Linked DNA regions of Saccharomyces cerevisiae S288C. Changing the gene in region 3 together with the main gene of any one other region gives a genetic interaction. Each region holds a gene or a part of one and is shown on either strand. Other genes may lie near its edges.

Evidence for each region.
Region 1: mutations in ERG25 (region 3) and MNN2 together harm fitness more than expected from each alone (negative genetic interaction), as found in Saccharomyces cerevisiae (3 studies listed by BioGRID).
Region 2: mutations in ERG25 (region 3) and BTS1 together harm fitness more than expected from each alone (negative genetic interaction), as found in Saccharomyces cerevisiae (3 studies listed by BioGRID).
Region 4: mutations in ERG25 (region 3) and PHO86 together harm fitness more than expected from each alone (negative genetic interaction), as found in Saccharomyces cerevisiae (3 studies listed by BioGRID).

What each region holds. Positions count from the first base shown.
Region 1 is NC_001134.8:266,722-272,320, reverse strand, and holds MNN2 (alpha-1,2-mannosyltransferase MNN2), read left to right. Parts: upstream 1-2,817; coding exon 2,818-4,611; downstream 4,612-5,599. Other genes in the region: KAP104 (Kap104p), read left to right, coding at 1-1,374; cysteine-rich palmitoylated domain-containing protein CPP1, read right to left, coding at 1,688-2,074; glutathione-disulfide reductase GRX7, read left to right, coding at 4,985-5,596. UniProt on the Saccharomyces cerevisiae protein: Alpha-1,2-mannosyltransferase, responsible for addition of the first alpha-1,2-linked mannose to form the branches on the mannan backbone of oligosaccharides.
Region 2 is NC_001148.4:420,888-425,796, reverse strand, and holds BTS1 (farnesyltranstransferase), read left to right. Parts: upstream 1-1,904; coding exon 1,905-2,912; downstream 2,913-4,909. Other genes in the region: HTC1 (Htc1p), read left to right, coding at 1-546; YPL068C (uncharacterized protein), read left to right, coding at 701-1,582; guanine nucleotide exchange factor MUK1, read right to left, coding at 3,011-4,849. UniProt on the Saccharomyces cerevisiae protein: Catalyzes the trans-addition of the 3 molecules of IPP onto DMAPP to form geranylgeranyl pyrophosphate. Required for the membrane attachment of YPT1 and SEC4. May be involved in vesicle trafficking and protein sorting.
Region 3 is NC_001139.9:607,835-612,470, forward strand, and holds ERG25 (methylsterol monooxygenase), read left to right. Parts: upstream 1-2,729; coding exon 2,730-3,659; downstream 3,660-4,636. Other genes in the region: septin SPR3, read left to right, coding at 1-1,267; ADE6 (phosphoribosylformylglycinamidine synthase), read right to left, coding at 4,055-4,636.
Region 4 is NC_001142.9:190,057-194,680, forward strand, and holds PHO86 (Pho86p), read left to right. Parts: upstream 1-2,474; coding exon 2,475-3,410; downstream 3,411-4,624. Other genes in the region: ALB1 (Alb1p), read left to right, coding at 1-187; ribulose-phosphate 3-epimerase RPE1, read right to left, coding at 318-1,034; YJL118W (uncharacterized protein), read left to right, coding at 1,583-2,242; SUN family protein NCA3, read right to left, coding at 3,804-4,624.

The DNA.
Region 1 (5,599 bases), on a different chromosome or scaffold from region 3:
GCACTAATACCATTTTTAGTGGAACAATTGAACGATAAGTGGGCACCAGTGAGGAAAATGACATGTTGGACATTAAGTAGGTTTTCACCATGGATATTACAAGACCATACTGAGTTTTTAATTCCAGTCTTAGAACCTATAATAAACACATTAATGGACAAGAAAAAGGATGTTCAAGAGGCGGCTATTAGTAGTGTAGCAGTATTTATTGAAAACGCCGACTCCGAATTGGTTGAAACTTTATTTTATAGTCAATTATTGACGAGTTTTGATAAATGTTTGAAATATTACAAGAAAAAGAATTTAATTATATTATATGATGCCATCGGCAGGTTTGCTGAAAAATGTGCATTAGACGAGACAGCGATGCAAATAATTTTGCCGCCCTTAATTGAAAAATGGGCTTTGCTGTCAGACAGTGACAAGGAGCTGTGGCCACTTTTAGAATGTCTTTCCTGCGTGGCATCATCACTGGGGGAAAGATTCATGCCTATGGCACCAGAAGTGTACAACAGAGCCTTTAGAATTCTATGTCATTGTGTCGAATTGGAAGCCAAATCACATCAAGACCCGACAATAGTAGTGCCTGAGAAGGACTTCATCATCACCTCATTAGATTTGATTGATGGATTGGTACAAGGTCTTGGCGCTCACTCGCAGGATCTATTGTTCCCTCAAGGGACGAAGGATTTAACGATATTGAAAATCATGCTAGAATGTTTGCAGGACCCTGTCCATGAAGTAAGACAAAGCTGCTTTGCCCTGTTGGGAGATATTGTATATTTTTTCAATTCGGAACTGGTAATTGGTAATTTGGAGGATTTCTTGAAGTTGATTGGTACGGAAATAATGCATAACGACGATAGTGATGGTACTCCTGCTGTGATAAATGCGATATGGGCGCTTGGTTTGATAAGCGAACGTATCGATTTGAATACTTATATCATTGATATGTCTAGAATCATTCTAGATTTATTTACCACCAACACACAAATCGTAGACAGCTCTGTGATGGAGAACTTGTCTGTGACCATCGGAAAAATGGGGCTAACACACCCTGAAGTTTTCAGTTCTGGCGCATTTGCCAATGATTCCAACTGGAATAAATGGTGTTTGTCCGTTAACGCATTGGACGATGTAGAGGAAAAGAGTAGCGCGTACATGGGTTTCCTGAAAATTATCAATTTGACCAGCACGGAGGTCACAATGAGTAATGATACCATTCATAAAATTGTTACGGGCCTTTCAAGCAATGTAGAGGCGAATGTTTTTGCGCAAGAGATCTACACCTTTTTGATGAACCATTCTGCCCAAATTTCTGCAATAAATTTCACGCCCGATGAAATCTCCTTCTTACAACAGTTCACCAGCTAAAATTTTTTTTACTGTATCCTACGTGTTTGTATAGTTTGGTACATTATTACTAGTGATATATACATAGCACAATTCGGAAAAAAAAAAAAGGTGCATAACTGCAAATGGATCACATAGAAATGAAAATAGTTATAAAAGTTACATATAATTAATAGACGTATTACATACATGCTTAAAGTGACATGTTAAAGTTTTTTTTTTTATCTCCTTGTGAAAAAAAATAACACTGAGGGGAAGAAAGGCAACTGCAAAGAACAGAAGGGGAGATTATTCTTTTTTTTTTTTTCATTCTTGAATACTTTTGCGGGTTCTCTTAGAATAGCATATCCATGGTGCAGCATATACATAATGCAGCCAGACATGCAGCCAGACAACCTTCGTTACCCCTCTGGGGTGGTTGTTGTTGGACGTAGACTGGTTGTTGATGGCCTTGTTGGTTATATCCCTGCTGGTTATATCCCTGCTGATTGTAGCCCTGCTGATTGTACCCTTGCTGATTGTACCCTTGCTGATTGTATCCTTGTTGGTTATAGTATCCGGGATGCTGCTGCTGCTGCTGGTAGTACTGCTGCTGTTGTTGGGGTGGGTATCCACGCTCCTGAGTTTTGTTCTGATGAGCGGATGAAGGTGGCGGGTTGGAGGGACGGGAATATTGGCTCTTCTCGCCGGCGGTTCCGCCGTAGTAATCGTTAGCAGACATGGTGGTTGTGTGTAGGACTATCTTAAGCTTACTAGTGAGTCTCTTCAATGCTTGTCTTGAGAAGAGAAAGAGCCAGAGGGGGATTTTGGAAAAAGCCAAATTGACATACTTTTATAGCTTCGGCCGCAGCAGAATGGCTGAAGAGTAAGAGGGCGCAGAGCGGCTGAGCGAACCCGTCGGGCGCGACCAGCCGATAGTAGCACAGTAGAATTTTAGAAGCATTCGTTATCAGGCCGATGTGTGCAATTATTGTAGGTCTGCAGTAACGTAGCTCTACTTTTTCGCAGTCCCGTAGTTTTAAAACTTTTAGTTAATCAGGTGTGAGGTGGAATGAGCGATGGCACTATGTCGGGCAAGGCAGCTTAGCGCACAAGTTAAGCTGGTGCGCTCAGAAGTTGGAGGGTTCGCTAAATAGGTTATGCAAACATGCAAGTCAAGTGAGTCGCCATTGGCTCGCTTGGTGATTAGGTGACTCTAATACATCGTCCAGGACCCGTTATTACCGTTCACGTGCTAAAAAAGGATCGCGTCCTTTTGCGGAGGGATGAAAAAGATAGTGAAAAAATAACAATGAAGAAAAAAAAAATATAGAAGAATCATCAAAATAAATTACGTGTACTTGGTGTTGCTTATACGTTAAAAGCAGAATTGCCCTACTTTTTAATATCCTCGTGCTGCTCAAGGTATCATATCTACTTCGAGACAAATCAGTGTAGGTAGGTCAGTAAAATTATATTTTCAGTATGCTGCTTACCAAAAGGTTTTCAAAGCTGTTCAAGCTGACGTTCATAGTTTTGATATTGTGCGGGCTGTTCGTCATTACAAACAAATACATGGATGAGAACACGTCGGTCAAGGAGTACAAGGAGTACTTAGACAGATATGTCCAGAGTTACTCCAATAAGTATTCATCTTCCTCAGACGCCGCCAGCGCTGACGATTCAACCCCATTGAGGGACAATGATGAGGCAGGCAATGAAAAGTTGAAAAGCTTCTACAACAACGTTTTCAACTTTCTAATGGTTGATTCGCCCAAGGGGAGTACTGCAAAGCAGTATAACGAGGCATGCTTATTAAAGGGTGACATTGGAGACCGTCCCGACCACTACAAAGATCTTTACAAGTTGTCTGCTAAGGAGCTGTCCAAGTGTTTGGAACTATCTCCGGATGAAGTAGCAAGTCTGACCAAAAGCCATAAGGACTACGTAGAGCATATAGCGACTCTCGTCTCGCCAAAGGGTACGTACAAAGGGTCCGGTATAGCCACAGTGGGTGGCGGGAAGTTCTCCCTTATGGCATTTTTGATCATTAAGACTTTAAGGAATATGGGGACCACGTTACCTGTGGAAGTCCTGATCCCTCCTGGTGATGAAGGTGAAACTGAGTTTTGTAACAAGATTCTGCCTAAGTATAACTCCAAGTGTATTTACGTTTCAGATATTCTACCACGAGAGACGATTGAAAAATTTGTTTTCAAAGGATACCAGTTTAAATCATTGGCCCTTATCGCTTCTAGTTTTGAAAACCTGCTCTTACTGGATGCTGACAACTTCCCCATCAAACCCCTAGACAACATATTCAATGAAGAACCATATGTGTCTACGGGCTTGGTCATGTGGCCCGATTTCTGGAGGCGTACAACTCACCCATTGTATTACGACATTGCAGGTATTGCTGTGGACAAGAAAAAGAGAGTTCGCAATTCTCGAGACGATATCACCCCACCTGCTGTTTACACAAAGGATTTGAAGGATTTGAGTGACGTCCCGCTAAGTGACCTAGACGGAACAATACCCGACGTGTCTACGGAATCCGGCCAACTGATGATAAACAAAACGAAGCATTTGGCTACGGCTCTTCTATCTTTATTCTACAACGTCAATGGACCAACGTGGTACTACCCAATATTTTCTCAAAAAGCTGCTGGTGAAGGTGATAAGGAAACTTTCATTGCCGCTGCAAACTTTTATGGTCTATCATTTTACCAAGTTAGAACAAGGACAGGCGTTGAAGGCTACCATGATGAAGACGGGTTTCATGGTGTAGCAATGTTACAACACGACTTTGTGCAGGATTATGGCCGTTACTTAAATGCTATGGAGAGCATTGGCAACAAATACGGTGGCACTAAATCAGCTGATGCAATCAAGTTTGACAAAAACTATTCCCTCGAAAAATACACCGAAGAATTTTTCGACAACGAGGACTTAAATGCCAAGAATCATGTAGATGTTATGTTCATCCATTCAAACTTCCCAAAGTTTGACCCATACGATTTATCTAAAAGCAATTTTTTGACTACGAATGGTAAACCTGCTCGTTCATATACGGCCTTAAAAAAGGTAAAAAATTACGATATTGAACTAGAGAATTTCAAGGTTTTAAACGAATATGTTTGTGTTAATAAGAATCCTTTCAAATATCTCGATGACCTTTTAGGGCAGGATAAAACGGAATGGAAAAGAGTGTGTGGTTACATCACCGATAGATTAGCATTTTTAGAATCTACTCATGATAAGGCGATTGCCGGTAAATAATATGCAACGGGTCGGACTATAGTTTGGACAACTTCCATTGGCGTTTTCTACATTCTTATTACTATTCCTTACATAGTTATGTTTATTTATCTTCCAGTTATGTAAATTTTTTCCTTCACAATCCATATAAAATGACTTTACTACAGATGTATAAATATGCAGTCCCGGGTGTATTTGAGAATCGAGACTACGTCATACCGGTAAGTGGGACTGCGTTTTGAAAAAAAATAAAGAAGTACTTTCGGCAGGATATTTGCCAATGTGTACATATCCCCTCAGTGAAAAAGCTCGAATCAAATAAAAGAAAAAACCTATATATTGGAAAGAAGCAAAATTTTCAAATTAAACGCAAAACAACTGAAGAAAATTAGAGATGGCTATTGTTATAAACAAAAGAAACGTGAGAGTCTTGGTAATAACTAATTTACTGCTCATTGTTGTGTTTTTTGTGTTAAGGAATTCGAATGCTAGCGTCAACGAAAGTATTACTACTCACCATCCTGATTCATTGGTGACGTTTGACAATTCAGGAAATGCACCTGGCACTCACCAATCTGTCCATGATACAGTAAATACACAAGATAAGGAAGCCGAAGAAGTTGATAAAAATAGTGGGGACGCTGAATTTGATGCCGCTGCAGAATACAACAAAATAATGGAACAGTCACCCATGATTGTATTTAGCAAGACTGGCTGCCCATATAGCAAAAAACTGAAAGCTTTGTTGACTAATTCGTACACGTTTTCTCCATCTTACTACGTTGTAGAATTGGATAGGCACGAACACACAAAAGAACTACAAGACCAGATTGAAAAAGTCACTGGTAGGAGAACAGTCCCAAACGTTATCATCGGTGGTACTTCCAGAGGTGGTTATACTGAGATAGCAGAGTTACATAAAAATGATGAACTTCTAGACTCTTTCAAAAAATGGAGCGATGGGGCGTTTACTGTAAAAGCTAATTCGCAATCTGAGAGTGCCTAGATC
Region 2 (4,909 bases), on a different chromosome or scaffold from region 3:
TGGGAACAAATCAAAGAGATAATTGAATCGGGGGAGCTTGCCCGTTTGAAACGAAGTCGCCAGATGACTGACAAATACCACGAGCATAAGAAAAGGACTGCTGGCCTGGACATGAACCAGTACGTTTTGCAAAAACTAGGCTGGTCGCTAGACGAACCGCAGCTCGAAAATGCTGCCGCGAAGGCTTTTAGTTCTTCTACTCTATATGCTGTGCGTGCCAACGATTTCCCGTATAACTTCGAGCCTGGTGTTGTACACCTTGTTCTCTGGTCCAAGGTTGCCCTGCCAGTACATTCCCCAGATAAGGCCGTGCGCGAAGCGGCCCGCGCTCGCATGAATGCATTTTTGCAGGCACAGCCGCTACTGCGTCCACTTCTAAGCTCGGGTCACGTGGCCTGGTTTGTCAACTACCCGGAACTACAAAGTGTTGCCCGGATTTTCCACGCTCACGTGCTGCTTTTCTTCCCACGGGAACGCTATTCCGCGGAACAGGTAAAAACGACCGTTGATGATATCCTTTCACACGGTTTCGAGCCACTTGCCTGATAAAGTTTTTTTTTTTTTTTTCAGCATGCCAAAATGCTACATACATTTGTTAATTATGTACTATAACCGATACTGGTATTAATGATGCGATGAGCTGATGAGACAGTAGATAAATAAAAGACGCTTCTACCTACACAAGCACATACAATATAATATGCATATGCAACTCAGGAAAAGAAAAAGGGTTGACTATTCAGGGAGAAATCAGACGTCCGATCCTCCTTCAACCACAACGGCAGCGGTACCATCCATTATTGTCCCTAAGAAGCGTAAAGTAGTCGCACAAAACATGGTTAGTCCAGCTATTCGAGCCACAACCACAACACTGGGCACCTCAAATATAATAATACCTAAGCCTCTGCAGCGCCCTAAATTCCACAATAGCGCCAGCCTATCTTCACCTGATGATGATCCCGAAAAGATCTCTGTATTGGAAGTTCAGAAAAATTTGTCCAATCTCATCAAAAGACAACAAAGATTATTTTATAAAGATATACATAAGCCGACTCTCGCCGGCTTGAAAAATTTCGAAATGTTAAGGCTGCCCAATGATCTAAAACTCCTACAAAACATCGTAAACCTATTATATTCATTCGAGCAATTAAACAGTGACTCGAAGACAAGACCAGTCACTACTTCCAAATTAAAGGCCTCCTCTCAAGCGCACTCAGACAAATTGAAAAAAATGCTAGCTGAGAGGAAACCTCCATTTAGCCACCCCAGTCACAGCGGCACTGCCTACCACAATGACATCATCCATGAGATAGCGAATTTGCATTCTATTAACCTGGTAGATTTGATTAATTTGGAAGTATATAATAACAATTGCCATACAAACAACACAGCGTTGCAAACTACGGCGAATTCGCTGACACTTAATAGCATTATCAAAAAGCTTGACAAGCCAATACTGAAAGAAAGAAATAATTCTCTGGTATGGCCCCATAAAAGCAGATTTAAAGCAAAAAGGAACCAACCTTCGCCTGGCCAATCTTTAATTAACAATACAGATATAACTCTCTACAACGATGTATAGCCGCCATCTCTACTCACTCCATAATATTACATATAGATATAGGACAAGCCCGCATTTTCATACTGAAAGGTAAACTTCTATTATTATAGTGGTATCCAACGTTCACCGCTTCCAGCATAGCAGAAATTACGTGTTTTTGCATATGTTATGCTGATCATTGTATGCTTACTACCATTTTTCTTTGCTTCGCCTTGCCTTCTTTGACGTTTTTTTGAAGCAAAAAAAAAGTCAAGACAGATGTGCTTACAAAACCATGTAAGGCTCATTTTCAAAGAAGCTACTAATAGAAAGAGAACAAAGCGTTTACGAGTCTGGAAAATCAATGGAGGCCAAGATAGATGAGCTGATCAATAATGATCCTGTTTGGTCCAGCCAAAATGAAAGCTTGATTTCAAAACCTTATAATCACATCCTTTTGAAACCTGGCAAGAACTTTAGACTAAATTTAATAGTTCAAATTAACAGAGTTATGAATTTGCCCAAAGACCAGCTGGCCATAGTTTCGCAAATTGTTGAGCTCTTGCATAATTCCAGCCTTTTAATCGACGATATAGAAGATAATGCTCCCTTGAGAAGGGGACAGACCACTTCTCACTTAATCTTCGGTGTACCCTCCACTATAAACACCGCAAATTATATGTATTTCAGAGCCATGCAACTTGTATCGCAGCTAACCACAAAAGAGCCTTTGTATCATAATTTGATTACGATTTTCAACGAAGAATTGATCAATCTACATAGGGGACAAGGCTTGGATATATACTGGAGAGACTTTCTGCCTGAAATCATACCTACTCAGGAGATGTATTTGAATATGGTTATGAATAAAACAGGCGGCCTTTTCAGATTAACGTTGAGACTCATGGAAGCGCTGTCTCCTTCCTCACACCACGGCCATTCGTTGGTTCCTTTCATAAATCTTCTGGGTATTATTTATCAGATTAGAGATGATTACTTGAATTTGAAAGATTTCCAAATGTCCAGCGAAAAAGGCTTTGCTGAGGACATTACAGAGGGGAAGTTATCTTTTCCCATCGTCCACGCCCTTAACTTCACTAAAACGAAAGGTCAAACTGAGCAACACAATGAAATTCTAAGAATTCTCCTGTTGAGGACAAGTGATAAAGATATAAAACTAAAGCTGATTCAAATACTGGAATTCGACACCAATTCATTGGCCTACACCAAAAATTTTATTAATCAATTAGTGAATATGATAAAAAATGATAATGAAAATAAGTATTTACCTGATTTGGCTTCGCATTCCGACACCGCCACCAATTTACATGACGAATTGTTATATATAATAGACCACTTATCCGAATTGTGAAATAAATTGATCAATCAAATTAGTGGAGGAAGATAGTCAGAAATAAAGCCTTCTCTCCTCCTCTTTCGCATCTATACATACGATTTCATATATACGTTTCATTGCATCATCTTTTGATATATCTCAAAAAGATCTCTTAGTTCGCAAATAGTCAAATCTTCAAATTTATAGCCTTTATATTTTTTCCACGATTTCTGAAACTCCTTTTTATCAGCACCGTTAATGCTAGCGGTTACTGTCAAATCGCCGGTAAATTCGCGATTTCCGTGCTCTAAAGATGCTGAAGATCGTGAAGATGATGAAGTTGATCGTGAGCCATCCCTAGACATCTCTGTTGTATCTCTATTGCTCAATTCCATGGATAATTGAGACGAACTTCGTGGTATGTTTAAGTTGTTGCTACTGTGAAGGTTATTATTGCTAGTATTGTTAGGATGTGGTGGAGTATATGACCTAATTTTTCCGATGATATTTTTTAATGATGAATCAAAAACGGTCCTGAAGCCATCATACGAATTCGATCTTGTAACATCTGGCCTTTGGATAGTAGGAGTCACGATGTCACCTAGGTTACTGCCGTTATTACCGTTGTTTTTATGCATTATAGCAGTTTTTGATGGCAATGAGACTCTACTGCTGATTGAATTTTCTAAAATTTTACTTTCATTTACAGTCAATTTATCTTGTAGCTCATTTGAAAAATCATTTTTGGTTAAGCCTTCAACAAAAACTAATGCAGCTTCTAGATTGGTTAATGCAAAGGATTCTGTTTCGACCAGCTTTTTCTTATATCTGAACAGCCTGATGAATTCGGCATTCAAGAAAATATCCCGTGGAACAATCGTAATAATGTAGTAGATTAGCAACGAAAGATAATCATCATTAGACATTTCTTGGGAATATGTCATGATTTCATGTAGTTTCAGTAGGGCCTTTATCTTTTCACATGGTGAAATCGAATGATAAGTAAACTCATATAAAATATCTTTGATCTCTTCAAACTTTGGTTCCGGATCAATGCCATTATTAAGACTCAGAAACTTTATCAAATTGATTTTATTCATTGTTGAGAGTTTGGACAAACAGAGGATTTTTTCATTCAACAACTTATTGTATTCTGTGAATTCAACACTGTTTCTAAATAGATTTCCAACCTTGAAAGTTTGTAATTGGTGTGGTTTGAAGGTTTTCATTTTATTCGGTGAAGATACGGATGTGCCTACTATAAGAATTTTCTTAAAAACATCTCTTTCACAAAGTTCCATATATTTTTCGATTTTCATGTTGTTTAATTCGTTGATTTTCAATTGCTTTTTTATCTCTTCAGGTGACAACATTTGTGTGGCATTAGTTGAATTTGATATTGACTCATTACTGAAAAGCGATGAAGATCTTCTTGGCCTCATAAGTGAATTTCCACTACTACTCCTACTTCTGCCAAAAATTCCGCTAAGACCACTACTTAACGTTTCTTTGGCAGCCAAGAATGAACTAGAGCCCCCGCCAGAAAAATAATAGCCATTATTATTCGCTGAACTGACGTGCTGGAATGATGCTTTATCAAATTTTATGTAAAAGCTTTGGAAAAGACTAGACAATTGCAGTACTGATAGTGGCCGTACGTACTTTGGCTGCTTTAGGTCATCAATAAAAATGTCAATTAATTTTGATAATTCTGGAGGTAAATTGGTGACAGTGTTCAACGCTTCGTCAATTTCTTGTTTTGTCAATATAGGAGACTTATTGTTTTCTAGCCTTTCTCCTGTTGTAGAGTTTTCATCACCATCACAGCTACTTCTCTCATTGTCATTTTGATCCTCATGTAGATTTTGTTGAAATTGCATGCCGCCAGTTGTGTTCTTGTATGATTCCCTGATGGATTGATTAGGGTCAAACCTTGGATTGGTTATCGGAGGAGTGAATAATTGTCTAGCCATTTGACTTTTATTGTTAGAGGGCGTACTTCTTTTTTATCTGCTCTTCTTCTTGGCTTCTAA
Region 3 (4,636 bases):
TATCAAAAACTTACCACGTCAACGTGAGTTGTTGAATGCCAAAAATGGAATTGATTTTACGCTGATGGTGGCGGGTCAAAGTGGATTGGGTAAAACCACGTTTATCAATTCCTTATTTTCTACTTCTTTAATTGATGATGACATCAAAGAAAACAAACCTATTATTCGTTATAAAAGCATTGTAGAAGGAGATGGAACACACCTTAATTTCAACGTCATCGATACACCTGGTTTTGGTAACAATATGGATAATGCATTTACGTGGAGGACAATGGTTAACTATATTGATGAAGAAATAAGATCGTACATTTTCCAAGAAGAACAACCTGATAGGACAAAAATGGTTGATAATAGAGTCCATTGTTGTTTGTACTTTCTGAGACCTTCAAATAAGGGAATTGATACTTTAGACGTCGTAACAATGAAAAAATTAGCGAAGAGAGTGAATTTAATCCCGGTTATTGCTAAATCAGATTTGCTAACGAAAGAGGAATTGAAAAACTTCAAAACACAAGTTAGAGAAATAATAAGAGTACAAGATATCCCTGTATGTTTCTTTTTCGGCGATGAAGTTTTGAATGCAACACAAGATATTTTTCAAAAATATCCATTCAGTATAATTGCATCTAATGAGTACATTTTTAATGAAAAGGGCGAAAAAGTTAAAGGAAGACAATACAAATGGGGCGCTGTTGACATTGAAAATGAAAAGTACTGTGACTTCAAAATCTTGCAAAAGACGATTTTTGATTGGAATTTAATTGATCTTGTAGAAAGTACCGAGGATTATTATGAAAAATGCAGATCTGAAATGCTAAGAACTAGGCTATTAAAGGCCAGAGATTGCTTAACAACGAAAAGTGTTGACATAACGGAAGAACAAAGGAAATTTTTGGAGGAAGAAATGAACTTCGATGAAATCGAGGAAAACAAACTCAAAAATTACAAGTGCTATGAAATAATTAATAAAACGGTCATGGATAAGGTGGCTACAGAATGGGATCCTGAATTTATAACTAGACAATTAGAAGCTAAGAAAAAATTCAACGAGCTGTCCAACAGAGAAATTTCAAAATTTCGAGACTGGAAAAAGAGCCTATTCATGGAACAAGAGAATTTTAACCAAGAGATTGAACAATTGAATCACAAGTTGGAAAACTTACAACTGGAATGTCAGGACTTGGAATACAAGCTGTTAATCGGAAAAAGTTCCAACAGCCATTCCACAGATAGTGCTACTTTAGTAAACGTTCACATCAAAAGGTAGTATTAATTAAAAAAAAAAAAAAGCCAATAATTTCGCGCAAGCTTTGCTCTACATAATAAAAATACAATTAGGATAGAAATGAATATTTTTTTAGCGGCAGTTTTACCATAAGTAGCAAAACCCTAACAATACAATGTGAGACTAAAGTAAATCCGGGTAATACAAAATACAATTTTTTTTTATTCTTCACAGCGTTTTTTCGACGGAGGAGGGAAAAAAAAAAATTGTATTTAAGGCATCAAATGCGCGACATCATATACCTTTGTCCGCTGTTATCATACCTTGAACCTCTACATTTCAGCCTAGCGCGCGCAAAAAGAAAAAAAAATCATAAGCAAGAGTGGTACGGTAACCACAAGGCAATGCAAAGAAGGGTGCGATATCAAGTGATGTTACCTTCCTTTACTTTTTGCCTTTTTCTTGAATTGTCAATCCGCCCTTTTTTTCTTTTCAGTTTTTTCTCCTTTCATCCGTCTCGTTTATCATAATGATGATTTCACTTATACCTATATGTTTTTTCTGGCATCTCTAATGTTAGGATGTGAAGTTTAAGTACTCTCCATTCAATGAATACAATTTTTGACAATATCTGATTTTACTATGATTAAACAGACCGAGGGAGAAAAAAAAAAGGAACTAAAAAAGGGCCTACGTAGAAGATGATGTAAAAGTAGATTCGCATCTGAGAATGTTTTCTTCAAATTTTTCTTTTCGGCCTTGGCGCAGAAGACTTTCTCTTCGTCCGCGTCGTATAGGAAACAAAAAAGTGTAAAAAGTAAAAATCGGTATATTACGCAATCCATTCGTTACCCGGTGTAGTCACGTGCGGGTGCGGAGGGCAGCCGTTTAAACCCGTTTGGGCCTTGGTCCGATAGAACCATCTCGCAGGAAAGAGCAGAGCCAGTTATCGGGTGTCGTTTACGCCCAGATGTCGTTTAGCCAGCTCCGCAACGGCCACTGCCACTACCACTGCCTCCCTTCGTATACGGGACACAGAGATCGTATACGGTAAACGACTAGCACTAGGACAATAGCAACTAACAATGACCGATAACAGTCAGCAACCTCAAGGCACCTGGCACAAAACCGTCGAGGAAGAGGCCCTTTGCCACCGTATCGCATCGCTTTCCCACCAATTTTTTTTTTCTTGCTTGCCTCGCCTCTGCTGTGGTCGTATTATTATTATTCATTCTCTGCGCAGTTTAAACTATATACACACGATTAATCCGTTATGCATGTACATTTTCTTGTATGCGTACGCCTGTGTATGCATACTTCTATATAATATATAATACAGGAGGATCTATTCTTTTTTTTCTTCTTCTCTTCTTCTCTCCCTTTTTTCTCTCTCTTCGTTTCTTTCCTTCCAGTAAATCTTTATATTAGTTGTAACTTTTTCTCTTTAGATAGTAGCATAGAGGACTAAGGAAAAGTAGTACAGCCATAAAAAAAAGAGGAAAAGATGTCTGCCGTTTTCAACAACGCTACCCTTTCAGGTCTAGTCCAAGCAAGCACCTACTCACAAACTTTGCAAAATGTCGCCCATTACCAACCTCAATTGAATTTCATGGAGAAATACTGGGCCGCATGGTACAGTTACATGAACAATGATGTTTTGGCCACCGGTCTAATGTTCTTTTTATTGCATGAATTTATGTATTTCTTTAGATGTTTGCCATGGTTCATCATCGACCAAATTCCATACTTTAGAAGATGGAAGTTACAACCAACTAAGATTCCAAGTGCTAAGGAACAACTATACTGTTTGAAATCCGTTCTTCTATCTCATTTCTTGGTCGAGGCCATCCCTATCTGGACCTTCCACCCAATGTGTGAAAAATTAGGTATTACTGTCGAAGTTCCATTCCCATCTTTGAAAACAATGGCTCTAGAAATTGGTCTATTCTTCGTCTTGGAAGATACATGGCATTACTGGGCTCACCGTCTATTCCACTACGGTGTCTTCTACAAGTACATTCACAAGCAACATCACAGATACGCTGCTCCATTCGGTCTTTCTGCTGAATATGCTCATCCTGCTGAAACTTTGTCTTTGGGTTTTGGTACCGTTGGTATGCCAATTCTTTACGTCATGTACACTGGTAAATTACACTTGTTCACTCTATGTGTATGGATCACCCTAAGATTATTCCAAGCTGTTGACTCTCATTCTGGTTATGACTTCCCATGGTCTTTGAACAAGATCATGCCATTCTGGGCTGGCGCTGAACACCACGATTTGCATCATCACTACTTTATTGGTAACTACGCTTCCTCTTTCAGATGGTGGGATTACTGTCTAGACACTGAATCTGGTCCAGAAGCTAAGGCCTCCAGAGAAGAAAGAATGAAGAAGAGAGCTGAAAACAATGCTCAAAAGAAGACTAACTAAGAGAAGAAACATACTTCAAAAAAAAAAAAAAGAAAAACAACAAAAAAACGTATAAAATGAAATAAATTTCGAACCGCTTTTTTTCCTTTTTTTTTTTTTTACTTTGTTTGACCTCCCCTAACTCTTTCTTTTTACCTTCACAATTGTTTATTTTAATATATGATTTTTAAATTAATTCAGGTTAATTCTAAAAACTATATTGCAATCTTTTAAATATATGTATACACGTTCATTACCACGTATACATATCCATATATATATATATATATATACATACTATTTATGATAAATTTTTAACAAGCAAACCCATTATTAAATGCTATAAATAAAAGACAGCTTCTTTCTAATTATTATTCAAACTTAAAAACTACATATACAAAAACTACAAAAATCTTTCAACCGACCCATCTTCTGGCAGATCTGAATAATCTAATCCATGGACCGTATCCACCCCACTCTTCGTATTTGCCCTCTGGATACCAGGAATTGGCCTCCAATCTGCAAACTCTTTCAGGATGTGGCATCATGGCAAGCACTCTACCATTTGGTGACTTGATACCGGCAATACCATTGGTCGACCCATTGGGGTTGAAGGGGAACCTTTCGGTGACGTTACCGTAGTTGTCCACATACCTTATACAACATAAACCATCCTTTTCGAACTTTTCCAGTTGTTCAGCGCTTTTAGAAAATGTTGCTTTACCTTCACCATGTGCGACAGCAATTGGCAATTTGGATCCTGCCATGCCATTCAAGAAAACAGATTCCTCGCTAGAATTGTCCTTTTCTTGAGATATTTGCACCATACATACACGGGCTTCATATTGTTCACTAACATTTCTTTCGAAACTTGGCCAGTTTTCACACCCGGGTATGATATCTTTTAATCTACTCAAGAATTGACAACCATTACAAGCACCAAAAGCAAATGTATCTTGTCTTTCATTGAAGAACTTAGAAAATTGCGAGCGCACACC
Region 4 (4,624 bases), on a different chromosome or scaffold from region 3:
CGCTAAGCTAGAAGACGAAATGGATATTGATCTAGATGGCGGTAAGAAAGTGAAAGAGAATGAAAAGAAGAGTTCTTTGACTTTGGTTAAGGAAGCCTTATGGAGTGTCATTGACGATACTGCATCCCAGGGATTGATCATCGAAAACGGACAAGGCACCACCCTGGGCGGCCCATTTTTCCCATGAGTTAGGCACTTACGTATCTTGTATAGTAGGAATGGCTCGGTTTATGTATATTAGGAGATCAAAACGAGAAAAAAATACCATATCGTATAGTATAGAGAGTATAAATATAAGAAATGCCGCATATGTACAACTAATCTAGCAAATCTCTAGAACGCAATTCCTTCGAGACTTCTTCTTTCATGAAGGAGATAACATCGTGCGGGTCAGCTGCAGTGAAAACACTGGTACCAGCGACAATAACGTTGGCACCGGCTTTGGCGGCTTTCGGGATGGTCTCCTTGCCCAAACCACCATCGACTTGGATATTCAAATGGGGGAACTTGGCTCTCAAAGTTTCCACTTTTGGCATCATGTCTTCCATGAATTTTTGGCCTCCAAACCCAGGTTCCACAGTCATAACAAGAGCCATATCCAAATGAGGAGCTAGTTCAAATAAAACGTCAACAGAAGTACCAGGTTTGATGGCGCATGCAGCTTTGATGCCCTTAGACTTAATCAACTTAACTAAATGCAAAGGGTCTTGTGTGGCCTCGTAGTGGAACGTAAATTGGTCAGCACCACATTTAGCAAAATCGTCGACCCATTTTTCAGGATTTTCAACCATCATGTGACAATCGAAGAACGCAGTGGGCTTCTTTTCTGTGTTGCTAGCATCGCCAGGGCGTGGCACAGAACGACGTAGGGAGGTAACAATTGGTTGGCCCAGAGTAATGTTTGGAACAAAATGGCCGTCCATGACATCGATATGTAACCAATCTGCGCCGGCGTTGATGACCTTATGACATTCGCAACCCAAGTTGGCGAAGTCAGAAGCAAGGATACTGGGAGCTATAATTGGTTTGACCATTTTTTCTTGTGTGTTTACCTCGCTCTTGGAATTAGCAAATGGCCTTCTTGCATGAAATTGTATCGAGTTTGCTTTATTTTTCTTTTTACGGGCGGATTCTTTCTATTCTGGCTTTCCTATAACAGAGATCATGAAAGAAGTTCCAGCTTACGGATCAAGAAAGTACCTATACATATACAAAAATCTGATTACTTTCCCAGCTCGACTTGGATAGCTGTTCTTGTTTTCTCTTGGCGACACATTTTTTGTTTCTGAAGCCACGTCCTGCTTTATAAGAGGACATTTAAAGTTGCAGGACTTGAATGCAATTACCGGAAGAAGCAACCAACCGGCATGGTTCAGCATACAATACACATTTGATTAGAAAAGCAGAGAATAAATAGACATGATACCTCTCTTTTTATCCTCTGCAGCGTATTATTGTTTATTCCACGCAGGCATCGGTCGTTGGCTGTTGTTATGTCTCAGATAAGCGCGTTTGTTATGCGAAAAAAAAAAACTTTACAGAGGCTTTGTTTATATATAGAAAGACCACGAAAAAAACAGTGATGGCTTCATGCTTTTCAGTTTCATTATTGGCACGAGTAGCAGTCGTTGAGCCCATCAGAGTGCAACTTTGGTTAAATGTCGTAAATTGTATGATTGAATCATCCATGCACCAATGTCCTCCACGGGATCGCCACTTTTTTTCTTCATCACGCCCCATTTTGTTGATCCGACGTTCTGTATCAACTGTATACAGATTCGTTGCTTCTCGCACCACACAGGTTTTACGTGCGGCCAAGACCGTTGTCAAGTGGTTCATTATTGTCGACCCACTGATAAATTCTATTCTAATCAATTATCTCATTGATAGGCTCTGCACTCTTGGGCATGCTGTATTGCGAGTGAAAAAGCGCAAGACCGAGGAGAGACAACCCTGTTCTCCCATTATACAACACACACACGTTAAGAGACGCAAACGGCCTCGTCTGAGGATCGTAGCCATCAAGAGGAAGCGGAGGCGTCGAAGACCACATCGCATCGAGCGTCCACTCTCAAATATGTACCCAATAATGGAAATCCAGATGGTGGCTGTTCCACTTGCTCTTCCCAGTCCAACTGCACTGGTGCATTATCAGCAGCAGCAACAGCAGCTCCCGCAACATCATCCCTGGTACGACCTCTCGCTTTCTGAAGAAGCCCTCTCGACCTGCTGTTGTAGTTGACCTATAACTGAAAATTCACACCCGCATTACCCAGCGCGCCCGCACGTGCTCTTTATGGAAACTATAATGAATAACGACCAAAGAACATCTTTTTTTCTCTCTCACACAAATAAAGCTTTTCATGTTTATAGATATATAGCACATACTTTTACTAAGTTTTCTAGATTGATTACGACTCTTCCAGTTGCACATTTTTTCATAGCGAAAGTACAAGAGTAGGAAGAGTGGCACAATGGCGGTTCAACAAAGAAAGAAGAAAGAGGGTAGAAAGTCCGATAAAAATGCCCCATCGGTCCCACAAGTAGATGCATCATTAGACAAACCACTTGATATTGATGCTCCTCCTACTATTTACAGTGTTAATTTGAAACCAGAATATGGTACAGCTGCATTGAATTTGTCCGCGGATTTCATCAGACAAGAACAGGCATTGGCTAATAAGTATTTGTTCTTCCATCCCGTCATCCTTGTTGTTCTAACCATTGGGCTGCTTATTTACTTGACGCCAAGAATTGTCTTTCCGATAAGGAATACAGGATCCGTTGCTGGATGGTTCTACCAGCTGGCTCGTATTAATAAGAAGGTCGTCCTCAGCGGTTTAGTGTTCACCGCAATTGGTGCATCTTTCTTGTTCACCCTCCTCTCACGTGTATCTGACTCGTATTTCAAGTCGAAGATCAACCAACTTGTTGGTTCTAAAGGTGAGAAAGTTTTCGGCATCAATTTGAATGATTTGGTGGCAAGACATGAAACAAAGGATCCAGTGGTGAACAATACGCATATCATCGTTTATAGAGAAACGCCCATTGCATTGATTTCGTTAGCCCCTAACATGACATTAAGTACTGATGAAAATTTAGTCATGAGTGTTACTACTGTGGGTTGTCGTCGTGTATATGTAAAAAGTGGCATTATCGAAGATTTGATTGATTGGGCTATGCTACACTCCAAAAATATTAGAAGCAGCGGCAAATACGGGGAGACCATGAAACTCTTGATTGATGTCTACTCATTCGATAGCACGCTTAAGGAAATTTTGAAGAAAAAAGGGTTCACTTATATTCAAAGCATTAGAGTCTCTGAAAATCGACTACTAGGCGGTTTGTTCGGTGTGAAGAAGGAATTATGGGGTTTGCAATTCCATTTTAAAGCCGAACACAAGGACTAGGATACTGTTATTTTTATAGCCAAAAAATGAAAAAAAACAGCATGGCATCTTGTTAGTTCTGTTGCAACTCGCAGGAAGTAACAAAATAAACACTATAATATTTCCATATATTTATATATATGTATACAAACACCTTGTTAACAAAAAAAAAATAAACGAACTAAAGAAAACCGTAATGCAGAGTACACCTTGAAGAGAGAGAAAAGAAAATCTTTGAATCCATAGCATAATAGCGATCAACGAAACTTTTTAAGAAGTAAAATGAACTGAAAGGAGAAAAATATAACGGAATCCCAATGTATAATAATAAATAGAGAGCGGAAGAAAAAGAATAATAAGGGGAATTGAGGGTATCAAAATACAAGACATTCTTTTACCGAAAAGAAGAATGACTTAATAGAAAACAAATTCAGCAGATCCAGATAAAACAGAAACTGTGCAACCATCGGAACCATCTCCGGTGAAAGAGCCATCTTCATACGCACAGCTGCCCTGAACGTTAGCGCCATCGGATGCAACTATTTTAACGTTAAAGTTGGCAGCTTGGTTACTGTTGGGGTTTGGAATCAACGACAAGTATGTTTCTCCATTAGTGGAACCAGCACCTAACACTAGTGGAGCCCAGTTGCCGACATCCGAACCAGAAGTACCCCAAATGCACCCATCTTCTGCAGATACACCGGCGTTGTTAATATAGTACTGAGCAGAAGTCTTTTTACCCTGCCATTGATAATAAGTGTCTTCATCAACGACTGAAATTGGTTGTGAATCTCCACCATCAACCACTGTGGGAATCACCATGTTTTCTGATCCTGGGTAATCCGTCCTACATAGAGCAATGGAGTCAGACTTTTTGTTAATGGCCTTAGCAGATGTTTCATCCGTAGAACATAAATCGCTGGTATCAGTGTTGGTACGGTACAAGTAACCATTTTTACAGTAAAGACCACCAACAGATTTACCATCGCTTGGTTGGTCAGAAGGCCATTGAGTCTTTGACATTCCAGGTTCACATGCATAAGAACAGTAGTAGCCATCCTTACATTCGGACGAAGTGTTGGCATCCATGTCCATGACAGAGGCCCATCCACCAAATCCTAGCCAGTCCAAGGAAACTATACCGTTTACAGAAGGGAAGTCCGAACATTTGACAGTACCATCTTGGAATCCGCCATCACGCTTCTGTTCAGAGGTATCCTTCTCAGATGAGGACA